Linked DNA regions of Macaca fascicularis. The protein of the gene in region 1 interacts with the protein of each later gene in a pairwise test. Links are inferred from orthologs where the notes say so. Each region holds a gene or a part of one and is shown on either strand. Other genes may lie near its edges.

Region 1 (4,215 bases):
AACCCGGGAGGCGGAGGTTGCAGTGAGCCGAGATTGTGCCATCGCACTTTAGCCTAGGTAACAGAGTGAGACTCTGTCTCAAAAAAAAAAAAAAAAAAAAAATTGGGAGAGAAGGTAGCAAGGAAGAGGTGCCTGGTGTTGACTGAAGCTTCCTTTAAATAAAGGGTGTGATGTGATGCTATTCCAGTTGGCAATGCCCCAGGCCATTGGAACTGCACTTCATACAGTGACCATCGGACCATGCAATGACGTGTTACTTAGACTCAGTGCCTCAACCTTTAATCATGATTTCACACACTGTGCCTGGCAAAAGATTTTGTTCTGAATAACTTTATTGCAAGTCACATAATCTTGGTTTAGACTTGACACAACAGGAAGTTACAGAGCTGTAAATACCAATTGGTCATTACCTTACTGAGTTTAGAAAACTTTCAAGTTCGTGGCATACATTAATTGCACTTAAATAGGCAGTGAGAGAAAGATTTATAAAGACATCATTCAAAAGGATTTTTACATTTGGGTGTGCCTTACTCGATTACAAAAATTTCAAACCATCTTCCCACCTAGGGCCTAGGGCGAGTTTTCTCTTTCCCTGGGACTGAACTAGCACAAAGCACTAAAGGGTTGAAGCAAACGTGAGTATCACTGAAAAGCACTAGAAGAAAGTCTCGATGTGGCTGGAAGAAACCAGAAGGCAAGATTGCCTGGGTGAGAAAGAAAACATAAAAATCTGTGTGTGAGATCACAAGCAGCAACTTCTCCATGTTGACTTCAGATGTCTTTCCCACAGTCGGGGCACAGGATATCGTCCCTCTCTGTGAGGAAGCCACGCCCCACCAGTGAGAGGGAGCACTTCTTACAGTTAAAGCAGTCGTTATGCCACTGCCGTTCCTCAAAGGAGATGTATTTTGTGCCGCCAAGTCCTGTTAACAGAGAGAAAATAATAGCGGATGAAGAAAATTAGAATCAGGCAACTGGGACTGAAGAAGGAATTGTGGTTTGATCCATTTCAAAGTTTGGATTGTGTAATATGGATAGTGTGAACTTCTAGTGAATGGGTGCTGGGAATCCATGTATAAATCAGATTCTATGCACAGCCTGGAGGATCTCGTGAATATCAGAAGAGAGATAGAAACTGGTTCCAAAACAATGTGATAAGTGCATCAAAGAATGCTGACTATATTTGTTATGTGTTTTCCCACAAAATGAAACTCTGTGAGAACAGGAAGCAGATTTCTCTTATGCCTTCACTAGGTGCCTCATGTTGCCTGGTGCTCAAATTTTTATGATTTAATGATTGAAGCACCAAAGGGAGTGTAGAAGAGGAAAAAGTTAATCCTCCCTGGGGTGGCCAGGAAAAGCCTCACAGGTAAAGTGCGATGTGGGTAGGAATGAGGGGAGAGGGATATTGTTGCAGCAGAAAGATCCTGAGAAAGCTGCAGACAGATAGAATGGAATCAAATATTTAAGGTACATTGGTCCCTGATTATAATACAGTTGGTTTTACCTAGTGTTTTTTCTCAGTGCTACAATAACCGCAATTCACATTCATATCTAACGTTTTACATTTGGAAGTGCTTTTATATAGATTGTATCACTTTATAAAGCTTAATGTTATAAACATTTACCTCAACAGAAGTTACTGCTGAAAACAGCATTAAAGATGAATATGTTTGGCAAAAGATTGCATTTTCCCCCTAAATGATTCCAAGGGAAATGTGGTGCATAAAGGACCAGAAACAGACATTTTAACATAGGTAAACTGTAAATACTATGCTTTTCTTCATATTTTAATTTCACATGGAAATGTAATGAGCTCTGCATTATACGTGAGAGAACTGTTTTAGTGACCTGGGAAGGTGATTTAGCTCAGTTAGGTGAACTTCGTTCTAGGCCTGAGGGAAAAGAAAGTCAAGGACAAGCACACAGGGGGTGTATAGATGTGTTTCTGTAATGACACTGAAAAGCCACATAGGAAAGCCAGGCCACCAGGTACTCCATGTGTCTGCCACCTTCCTCTGATAGGGAAGAACCACTCCACTGAATGCAGTGGGATTGAAAATCCCACATCATAAAACTTCTCCTGTGTTATTATAGAAGACACACTTTTCTCTCCCCACCCAGTCACTAATTTGTGTAGTGATATGTGGTGACCATCTAAAGGACTTTAGTGTGAAGTCATCTGTTCTCCACACTGAATTTCTCCAGCCTGCTTAATAGTCTAGTCCAGAAGCCTGGTCTGCCGGCCAGCCAGATTTTGGGCTCTCACTTTGCCAGATCATTTGGGGGAATACAATATGAAAAACTCCTTAGAATGTACCCTCTGCCCTCATATAGCTGTGGCCTTGTGGCAGAAATTTCCCACTAAGATGCTTTGGAGTACAACCGTCCCCCTAAGATGCTAGGGGACACTTCTAAGAAAACAGTACAGCTGCTAAGCCTGAAAAGGCCAGTTTTTATTGTGCTTATGTGGTGTTACAGGCTCACAGGCTGCAGTTTTAGAGATAATCCAACCCAAAGCAGAAACTAAACCAGAGCACAGGCCATACGGTTGTGATCCGGTGGGCTGCAGAGGAAGTAATCATTACTTGCTGAAGCATAGCCAGTGCACCAAGGAGAGGAAAGCAGATAGGCAGAAAAGTCTGCTGTGTTCAGAGCCTTAGGGAGGTCTGGGAAGTTTAGGGATATAGACAGGGTCACATGCTAAAATGCTAGGCCTTGTTCAAGCTTCCAATCCCTCTTCGAAGTGGGGACCCCGGGACACTCACCGCTGATGGGGTTGGTACACCCAGCACACTTCTTGGCATACAAGTCACAGAAGCAGTTCAGGCAGTAGGCAAAGTCATCGCGAGCCGTGAAGCGCTGCCCAGACAGCTGCTTCCTGCAGGCGGTGCACACAAAGCACTCCTTGTGCCAGGGCTGCTCCCGGTAAGTGACCCCTCCCGTGGTGATGGGCTGCAGGGATGAGTGGGAGAGTTAGTGTGGTCTCTCTGCTTGCAAGACATCTTCAGTCTCACTACTGCCACTGGACAATGCAAGATCCTCATTCAGAAAACGTCCAGTTTGTTAAACATCACCATGAAGCTGCTTTACAAACCTCACAGTCACTTGTTACCCTCGCCACACGCTTTCATTCCAGTGTCTTAGGCCCTGGCTTTCCCATTAGTGAAACTGGAGCTTGGGGGTTGCCCTCAGCCCTTCCCAGGGATGCTGGAGATCTAAGGCACAGGGCACCTCAGTGGCGTTGCCACCTTCGCGAGCAGGGAAGCAGCACAGTGGAGGGGTCGGGATTGAAGACAGCATCAAGGAGACGTGGGCTTGAATCCTAATCCTACTCCTTACCAGACCTGTGGCTGGGAGCAGGTCATAATAAAGATCTCTGCACCTCAGTTTTCTCATCCAGGAAGTGAGGGTGATGATGTTAAATAGGCAAGTTGATGGGGAGTCCTTACTTAGAAGCCTGGCAGGGCCGGTGGCTCATGCCTGTAATCTCAGGACTTTGGGAGGCCGAGGCAGGTGGATCACTTGAGGTCAGGAGTTCAAGACCAGCCTGGCCAACATGGCGAAACCCCATCTCTACTAAAAATACAAAACATTAGCTGGGTGTGGTGGTGCACCTGTAATCCCAGCTACTCAGGAGGCTGAGGCAGGAGAATCGCTTGAACCCTGGAGACGAAGGTTGCGGTGAGCCAAGATCATGCCACTGCACTCCAGCCTGGGCAACAGAGTAAGACTCTGTCTCAAAAACAAAACAAAAACCCTGGCAAGTGGTAACCTCTCCAATGCCACTCACGAGCCTGTCTCTCCAGCCACTTATGGTGAAAGAAGGAAAAGGCTTAAAGGACAGCTGGGACTGGCACCTGCTGATGCCACAAGAAGATATGGGCATCTTGGAAGTTTTGGGAAAAATCAGCCAGATGCCTTCATTCTCACCCGTCTTGTGGTCTTAGAACATCTGTGAGGTGAAGCTGCAAAGCCACACAAGGTGGAACGGCCATCAGTACCTCAATTTTACCTGGTATTTTTCTCCAAATGTTGCATCTCACATTCTGTTTAAAAATGCGTGCGTGGTGGAGCTGAGTAAGCTATCAAAGGAGTGTAGGTGGCCTCAGCTTGGCAAACGAAGGCCATGGAAGATGGAGTGCAAGCACCTCACAATCACGCTTTTTTGCTTTTTATTTTTTGAACATTTCAGTATCATCCAGTAATTCCTTT
Region 2 (4,097 bases), on another chromosome or scaffold:
AACCTAGTTCAGAAGCATTACCCACAGAAGTTCCCTTTCCCCATTTCTGAAATAGGGACAGGGATGCTTACAGAATAGGTTCCCAATGGAGGTGGTGTAGAAATACCAGCAGAAATGAGGACTGTGGAGTCTCTGCCTCACATTCCTTGTTCAGGGTCGGACTCTACAACCACCTAGTGTTAGAGAAGGGATCAGTATCAGTACTTCCCAACCAGCATCCAAATCTTTCTTATCCTTTTCAGGAGAGACCTCCTCTCTTTTTTTTTCAATTTTGGAAGCCCGCAAGGAAGCCAGCCCAGAGAGCAAAAAGGAAATGAAACCAGGCCCAGTTATCAGTTTATTCATTTCTGGAATTGGTCTATCAACCACCACCCATGTCTGGGCACCAGGTGAGGCAAACTTGAGGCTCTACTCTTACCACATCCCCTGCTAGAAAGACATAGTTTATAGTGACAATAAAGAGGAAAGCTACTGCTAGATCTCAGGGGACATGAAAACTCAGTTCTCAACTTGCCTGAACCCCCAACTTGCTGGGCGAGCTTGCACCAGTCTCTCTGGTTTCCCTTCATCCAGGAAATAACAAGGCAGAGTCCAGATCTCTTCTCTGCACCCATCACTCAATGGCCATGGGACTCCCATCATGAACCCTTCTCTCCCCACCCCATCCCCTCTCAGCTGGGCAGTTTTTCATCTCTCTCTCATGGGAGTGAGCAAGTTCACTTTCCCAAAGCTCCCTAAATGCAGCCATGTGAGAGAAAGCATCATTAGTACTTAGTGGAGACGGGTGTCATCATATACACAAGTGTTTAAAAATCGTTTATTATGCAAAATGTTAACTTTTATAAAAAGTTTAATATACATCGCATTGTTACAGAAAGTCACCTTCCTGTAAAAAAAGGTACAAAAACCTATATACTCTATTATAGAGTTCATAAATCAGGGCAACAGAACCTTTCTCCAAGGAGACCAGAAGACCAGCTCTGCCGCCGCCTTGGCATAGTTGGAGAGCAGCCACTCCTTCCACACCTCCAAGCTCTGAAAAGACAGTCCTTAAAACTTGGGGGTGGGGCAAGGGCAGGGTGATGTCGCCCAGCTGGTGGCCAGAGCTAGCTCTGGCTCTTCAGGCCACACAAGTTCACAGTCCTTCGCTCCAGAGCACCAGGTTCAGCCTCCAGGAAGGGGTTTGGTGAAGTGGGCAGGGCGAAGTTGGGGCCCATCCATGCCGTCTGGCTTCCGGCAGGAGAGGTTCCCGGGGTCCCAGGCCGAACGGGCGCCAGCACCTGCGTTCTGGGCGGGGGAGGAAAGAAGACCAAGGAGCAGTCAGTTTCCGCCGAGCGCGCCGAGGCGGGGGCCGTCCGCAGACTGGTCGGCGCCAGGGAGGAAACTTGGTCTCTACCTCCAGCTGATAACTCCGTGCCCCACGCTGCCCCCACCCAGTTGGCGCCAAAGACCACAGGCGGAGCTTGCACTACCCCTCCCACTTGGAACTGACACTAGCTGGGAGGGGGCTGCCGAAGACACAGCTCCCTATACAACTCCGATCAGAGACTTACTATTTAGTCGGACCCGCGTCTACTTTCCCAGACCCTCGGCCACAGCATGAGGGCAGGGGCGACGCCCGTTTAAGGCTGAAACGCACATCACATGGCAACTGACTCTGCCATTCATTTAACGCTACCATGGGCAAGTCACTTGTCCGTCTCTGGCCTCGATTTCCCTAAACCGAGGGAGTGGCAATCTTTAAAAAGGTCTGCCAACTCCAGAACTGGCCGTTTAAACCTCCCTCTCCAAGGGAGGAGATGCTCACCTGGAGGTGTCAGGACACGGCCGGGTCAGTGGCAGAAGCTCCTTTTGTCGTTGGAGATGACAAGTTCCGGAGCGAGTTCGGCTGTCTGATAAAAGAGAAAAAGAGGGAAGAGTTACACAAGGCAATCTGGCGCTCCAAGGGGCTGGCAGCATCCTTGCCTGAGTGTTCAGCCCTGCTCCGGCTTCCAGGCTTACCTGGATGGGGAGATGAGGGCTGTCCGGGGGTCCTGGGACTGGCTCGGCCAGGACCACCTGCAGGTCGAGGATGTAGTCGATGACGCGCTGTAGGATTTCCACCTGGCTAAGCTGAGTGCCTCTCGGGACTCCAGGTACCAGTTCCCGCAGGCGGGAGTAGCAGTGGTTCATGTCGTCCAGCAGGCTCAGCGGCTCCTCGGCTGCCGGGCCCTTGCCTCGGCCCCGGGCGATGGCCAGACTGCGTTCAGACAGACAGCACACTGCCTCGTAGCAGCCGCGCACCGGGCTCAGCGCCTTCATTGCTGGGGAGTGAGTCCAGAGGTGCCCAAAAGGGGAAGAAAACCCAAAGAAATCCCCTCACAGCGGCTTGCAATACGCACACGCTCGCGGCCGCGGGCACTTATAGAGCCCGCCTCGAAGGCACGCCCCTTTATTCAAAACGGCCCGCCTCGGCCACGCCCCTGCCGGCCCTGGGCGTTCACAGCCCGCTTAAATTGCAAACAGGCTTCCTCCGGCTGGTCTGACGCCGAAGACCGCGGAGCCGCGGATTCAAAGAATGAGGAAGCGCTGATACTGGGGCGAGGCGGGCCTCTTCGCCAGCAAGGATTTAAAAATCACTCAAAACCATTAACTTCAAGAATTTGCTTTTTCCTGGCAGCGCCCCAGATATTTGAGCTTCCCTGCCCCCTGCCAGTCCGCCTTTAGCCCAACACTGGTTCGAACCCACAGCTCCTCCGAGGTCATAAATCCCTGAACAGCAAAGAAGCTCCCCCCTCCCTTTTTTTAAGCAAAAGATTTTTCAAGGGAAACTTGTAAGGAATTAGTGCCGCCTTGTTCCCCAATTTGCTGTTCGTCTGACCTCCAGACTCACTGGCGTCAGGAATTATCTTGTGACCAGAGGGAAAAAAAATTAATTGCGGTGAAGCTAAGGTTACAATGAAGAAAACAGATTTGCGCTAGGCGCTGAGATTGCAGAAGGAGGAGGGAAAGGGGGTTTGAGCAAAGAACACTATTTATTTGAGCAACAGGGGAAAAGAAGAAAGCCTGAGCCCATGCTTTTTGCATGGGGAAAAAAGGAGCCTGGACCCTCTGCCCTGTGAACTCCATAACGAACCAAATATATGCACAGTTGTGCTTGGTGAGTTCAATTAGAATTTTAGACAAGGTTTTAAATGTGGAGGCACAGATGGGACAATTCCTATATAAACCTTTTTAAGAGCCCCCCACTGGGTCAGCAAATTTGTTAACTTCCCCTCTCCTTTCCACACACCTCTGTGCAGAAAACAATGGTAATTTCATTGCTCTATTGTCTATCCCTTTCTCCTATGGAAGGGCAGGCCACCTGGACTTGATTATTCTTAGCCCTGCTGAAGTAGCTCCAGCTCCATCTGAAAGACCAGGAAAGGAACCAGAGGGCCGGCAAACTAAGTCCTGTATTGCAACAGGACACTGTGCTCAGTATTCTTTCTTTGCTTGTCTTCTTGTCACCTCCTTAGACATTTGGGAACCTGCACTTCCAAGATGCTGCTTTCCATTTTGGAAATGACCCAGTGGGATTCCAATAGTTACTTTCCTAATGAACCATTGGTGAATATATATGGACTCCCTCCACATAAAACAGTGGTTCCTGCTTTCAAGCACCCCACAATTTGGGGAGAGAAGATTAACACAGAAAACAAGAGTTCAATAGTGTGTGGCACTGATTAACAGGACAAGGGGAGCTCAGCCAAAGAGAGTCTCAAAACAGTTAAAAAGGACACTGGGAATTGAGAGCCCTGGGTTCATAGTGCTAGCCCTGACAATAATTTGTCATGTAATCTTGAACAAGCCCAGGTACCCTGGCTTTAATTGCCTTGTGAGTAAAATAGAAGATGGTGCTGAGTGATTATTTTAAATCCTTTCCAACTGCAGAAGTCCAAGACTGTGTGAAATTTGGATAGGTAGGTGAAGGCTGCTGAGGGACCCAAGGAGGGCATTTAAGACACATCCAATGTTACACTACAAGTAATAGCAGAGCCAGTCTTGAAGCCTTGTTCTTTTTCATCAAACCACAGGGCTCTGTGGCCCAAGAAAGATTCCTTCCTGGAATGTTTTTT
Region 3 (4,714 bases), on another chromosome or scaffold:
CTGAATTAACTGAACACCCAATCTCATGAAAATTTACAAATAAAACAACCACTCACAATCAGCCTAACACTTCTTAGGGCTTATCTGTTGGCCTTGGACATCAGTACATGCAAAAGTAAATAACAAGATACCCTTGGGTCACGTGTTTTCATACTTTAATTAAGAATTATACTTGGTTAAAGATGAATACTTCAGTTCCTGGCTACTTTCCTACCTAGGGCTAATAAACACAACTATTTGAAATATAAATTATCTTTAAATGTAAAGGATAATGCAATGTTTCTGTCAAAATTACTATGCAACTGTAACTTTGGCACTAAAAGCATATTAAAACTATTAATCCTTTAATCATAATTATTCATATTGTTGTGGTAGAAACATCACACACACACACATACCAGTTACTTCTGTGGAATTTGAAATTGCTCTATCTAGCATTTTCGGAAGGTTCAAGCTACCACCTTGCAATTTATCCAGTAGCCTGCTGCTTGAACAAGCTAGATTAATATCTAATAATTTTGACCATGTACTGTGTGTTAAGTCCAGTTTAAGTGTTTTCCAAAGACTGTTTCACATACTTTAAAGCCCTACAGATAGAGACCATTATTATCCCCATCTTATAAATCAGACTGAAAAGGTTAAATAGCTAATATTTTCATCTAAGTCTGTCTGACTCCAAAGCCAACACCCCAAATCACTGTTAAACAAGCTTCTCTTCCAAGTTAGGGCTCAGAAAAATTTACTTGACTTTCACAACTTGCCTTTCTAGGTTAAGCTTAAGCTGACATAAAACTCCAAATTAAAGCAAAACACAATAAATCACTTAATTCTAAATTTGATTTTTTTTCCTGCTAGACAGAAGTTTTCAACAATTAAAAAAAAAACTAATCTGATATTGGCTAACCACTTCCTCGAGTGTTCTGACCATGAAGCCCTTTGCTCTCACACTTTAATAAACCACCGATATTCTCTAACAAGTGACAACACAAATCCACAAATCTAATTGTTAGAGAGCTTTCAAGTAAGATTGGAGCTTTCTGGACAGGAAATTTTTATAATACTATTTTTTTCAGGCTCTTGTGAAACACAGATTCACATTTTCATATATTTCTACACAAATCTCAGTGCTGTGTGCCCTGTTGGGTGTTCGATATCTAGTAAATTACGTGAGTTAAATACAGCAAAAATAGGACTGCATTATTTATAAGGTCTAACGACGCAGTAGACTTTTAAGCATTTTTTGGATTTAAACCAGGGCTTTACGGCGCTGGTTAACTATTAGAGAAGGCAAAGGGACTGAACATTTTATCTGAAAGTCCTTTTATCACTTAAGACTCTGTAAAATGTTTGATTACTTTAAAAATTGTGTGTGTGAATCATGTTAGTTTACTAGAAAAGGGGCTTGCTAGTACATATAATTGGGTTAAAAAAAAAAACAAAAACAAAACAAAACAGCTCCTTACTTGAATGTGATTGTTTTGGCAATAGTAAAATTCAATCCCGTCGTTCTAGCGCTGCCTGCCTTCCTGGTTCTCCTAGGTGAGGGCCGCCATCCTGCGATAATTTACTTTGAGAGCTGAGAAGCGCTGGCAAGGGTGCAGTCTGGTGACTAGCACTTTTAAAAACAAAGCCAAACTCCGCTTTTAAAATAGAGAAGGCACAGACGCAGACCCTGCCTCTGACGACATCCAAAAGATTCATTATAGACAGCCTATTCAGGCGAAGCTACAACCGCCCCAGGAAATATAAACTGTGTCGGCAAAGACAGCAGGGGGGGAGAGGAAGTAACTGATGGGAAGGAAGCTAATCATGTGAAGTTTGTCCAACTCCACATGGTCTAATAAATTCCCGTTTGTTTCCGCTGGGAGCAGCCATTAAACGCGCCCTGACACGTGGGCGCAGGAACCTCCCTTCTACCTCTGGCGTTCAGAGATTTCCTTCTCTACCCACTTGTTTGTATACAACCACGCCCGGCAGGATGACCACCAGATGACCGGCCGCGGCAGTGCCTCCACTCAGCCCCAGCTGGGCAAAGTTTCACTCCACCGCGGCGACGTGAACAAGAATCACGGCTTCCTTACCGAGAGTTATGAATGATTTAAGCCAAGTTTACAGTACACACAAAGCGAGGGACGAGTGAGTGACGGCAGGCGCTGACAGGGTTTTAAAGTTAGCTTTTATTGATACGCCCTAATTACAATGAAAAACAGAAGTCACCCTGACCCACGGGATAACTGTCGGGGCAATAATTTTTTTAAGAAAAAATCACGCAAGACTGAGCCTCAACCTCCCCCTTATCACCTGCAAATATAGTCTGCAGAAGGGCAACCTAGGGACCCCACTCGGGGGTCCCTCGCAGGGTGCGTCATATGGGCTCTCCCCTCTGCGACCCGCTATTTCCCTGCTAGACCCCCAGCGCCCAGTGGATTCCAACGCTGCGCTCCCGCCGGCTGGTCCCGGGAGGTAGAAAGCAGGCAGAGGGGCGTGGCGTCTCTGTCGCCCCCAGATTCCAGCCCTCCTCCAACGCCTGGCACCACCACAAGCCAGGGCTGGGAACACTGGGGGCCTCCCAATCGGGCGCGGGGCGCACGGCCGCAGGCTGGCGAGGAGGCAAGCGAGCTCGCGGGGAGACCTTTCCTTCCACCCCTAGCCTAGCCCCAGCCCCAGCCGTGGGGGCACCGGCTCCCCGCGACCTCGGGTTGCCGCCCGTCGAGGGCGACCGCGCGGTTTCTGCCTCTGGGTCTGGGTGTCCCTTGCCCCCTTCCTCCGCCTCTCCCCGGTCTCCGGCGCCCAGCGCCCCGACCAGTCCCCGCCCTACAGGACACTCTTCCCTCCTTCCTTCCTTCCTCTGCTCCCTCCCTCCATCTCGCTTCCCAGCACCCGGGACTCGGAGGCGGCCCCCGAACTCGCTGGCCGACGCCCCGCGCCGCGCCCGGACCCCGCGGGGACCCGACTCACCACCCGCGCCCGCCGCTTGGTACTCACCCGCCTGCTGGTGCGCTGCCCCGCCGTCGCCGCCGGGACTCGGTCTCTAAGGGCTCCTGGAGACGGCTCCGACCTCTCCTCCTCCTCCTCCTGCTCCTCCGGGCGCCGGCTCCGCCTCGCTGGGGTGGGCGGGGCGGCGGCGGCCCCAGGCTCCTTCCTCCGCGCCGGGCCCTGCCTCCCGCCCAGACACCCTGGCTATGTTGCCCCGGGCCGCGGAGCCCGCGTTGTGGCCCGGCTGGAGGAGGGGAGAGGCCTGGCCTGGGGAAGCTCGGTGGACGTCTGGCCGTCTTTGGCCATCCCTCTTCCCCTTATTCTCATGGAGGACCTGAAGTTCTAGGAGTTGAGGGCTCCCACTCTACGACCCGCTCCTCCGCGGGGCCGCCCTGACGCCTCGCAAGTTTCCTTCGCGTGCGAACGCCTCGCCAGCCCCTGTGCCAGCCGTCCCCAGGGCTGTGAGGATGAGCGCTGCCAAACCCCTACACAAAAGTTTGGCTCTGCCCCAGACACTATGGAGGAAAACACTCACAGTAACATTTAAAGGGCCCTGGGGCCACGGAGAGACGTTTCACAGAAAGTGGAGGTATAACTGCGGATTATTGAATTTGTAGTACATCCACCCACCATTAGCTTCCCGTCCATCTGCCCCAACCCCCTGAAATTTGTTTCCGAATGTCCAGTACCTGGCAGAGTTCTGCCCAATGAATTAATCGGATTTGGTTGGTCTTTTCTGGAATGGTTCAAGGTCGGGTAAATGGAGGAGCCATTTCTGCTTCCACAGATTTCGTACTATTCCTTGGGCCATTCGACAAACATTACCGAGCACCCGCTGTGTACCAAGCGCGATGCTAAAGGTGATGGGAGAGGTACAAGGATGAATCAGACAGGGGGCTTGCCTTCTTGGAGTCCAGAAAGAGTAAAGAAGTTGAATGTTCAGAAAACCACTCAGCGGACTTCTGGAATATTCCTAGGTAACCGCTTTCTTGTTTGACAGGGTGGAGAGAAAAGAGGTGAGGCCAAAGTAGGTCACTTAGAACCAGTGTGGGCAGAGTCCGCACTTGAAATGGAGTCTGAAAGCATTGGTGAGGGATGTCTGTGTATTGAGTTTCACCAACTGAGGACAAGTGGGCCCTGGGGAATCTGGAAACTAGGGACTGCAGTCAGGGCATTATATTCCCTCTTGCTTTCCTTCTGACCCCTAAGCAAGTATCAGGCTTAGTGAAATGATTTGCACATGTAGAAGAGGTGTCACAGGTAGAGTCGGTGTATGAATGCATGCCTTGCCCCAGGGGTGTGATCTTAGCAAGCTGCAGATGAGGGTGGTTTTGGGGGTGCAAGTCACAGGCTACCAGAGAGGTCTTTATTTCCTGTTCTGTTCAGCATTAGGAAATGCTTGACTGATTCACAGGTACTAACAGTTCAAATGATACATCTGAAACAGAACAGCATGACACCACAGGGACTGAGAGGGTGGCATACTGGAGTTTGTATTTTTTGGCCACAGACCACAGAATAGACTTCTCTAAGCCATACTACTAATTTCCCTTCCTGGGACACTTTATAGTTTAATAAGTGCTTTCATGTACTTACTCTTACTTTTCTCTCATTAGTCTCTTGCAAAAACCTGGAAACTGGAACACCAGTAACTTAAGTGGCCTGTTGGAAGTTTTCTAGTTGAGTGCTGTTCAAAGTGTGGTTCATAGAATAGTGACAGTCTGCAAACCGTTACCCA

Evidence for each region.
Region 2: the proteins of FHL2 (region 1) and ID3 interact in binary tests that used the Homo sapiens proteins (3 or more experiments, as listed by UniProt). The link is inferred for Macaca fascicularis from reciprocal best matches to the Homo sapiens genes FHL2 and ID3.
Region 3: the proteins of FHL2 (region 1) and GNG12 interact in binary tests that used the Homo sapiens proteins (3 or more experiments, as listed by UniProt). The link is inferred for Macaca fascicularis from reciprocal best matches to the Homo sapiens genes FHL2 and GNG12.

Annotation. Positions count from the first base shown.
Region 1 is NC_088387.1:9,791,407-9,795,621, forward strand, and holds the end of FHL2 (four and a half LIM domains protein 2), read right to left. Parts: intron 2,956-4,215; coding exon 2,769-2,955; intron 924-2,768; coding exon 772-923; 3' UTR 315-771; downstream 1-314. UniProt on the Homo sapiens protein: May function as a molecular transmitter linking various signaling pathways to transcriptional regulation. Negatively regulates the transcriptional repressor E4F1 and may function in cell growth.
Region 2 is NC_088375.1:211,559,479-211,563,575, reverse strand, and holds ID3 (protein FAM219A), read right to left. Parts: upstream 2,378-4,097; 5' UTR 2,302-2,377; coding exon 2,002-2,301; intron 1,893-2,001; coding exon 1,833-1,892; 3' UTR 1,808-1,832; intron 1,365-1,807; exon of another isoform or gene 1,288-1,364; 3' UTR 804-1,287; downstream 1-803. UniProt on the Homo sapiens protein: Transcriptional regulator (lacking a basic DNA binding domain) which negatively regulates the basic helix-loop-helix (bHLH) transcription factors by forming heterodimers and inhibiting their DNA binding and transcriptional activity.
Region 3 is NC_088375.1:166,844,881-166,849,594, reverse strand, and holds the start of GNG12 (guanine nucleotide-binding protein G(I)/G(S)/G(O) subunit gamma-12), read right to left. Parts: upstream 3,104-4,714; 5' UTR 2,986-3,103; intron 1,758-2,985; exon of another isoform or gene 1,464-1,757; intron 1-1,463. UniProt on the Homo sapiens protein: Guanine nucleotide-binding proteins (G proteins) are involved as a modulator or transducer in various transmembrane signaling systems.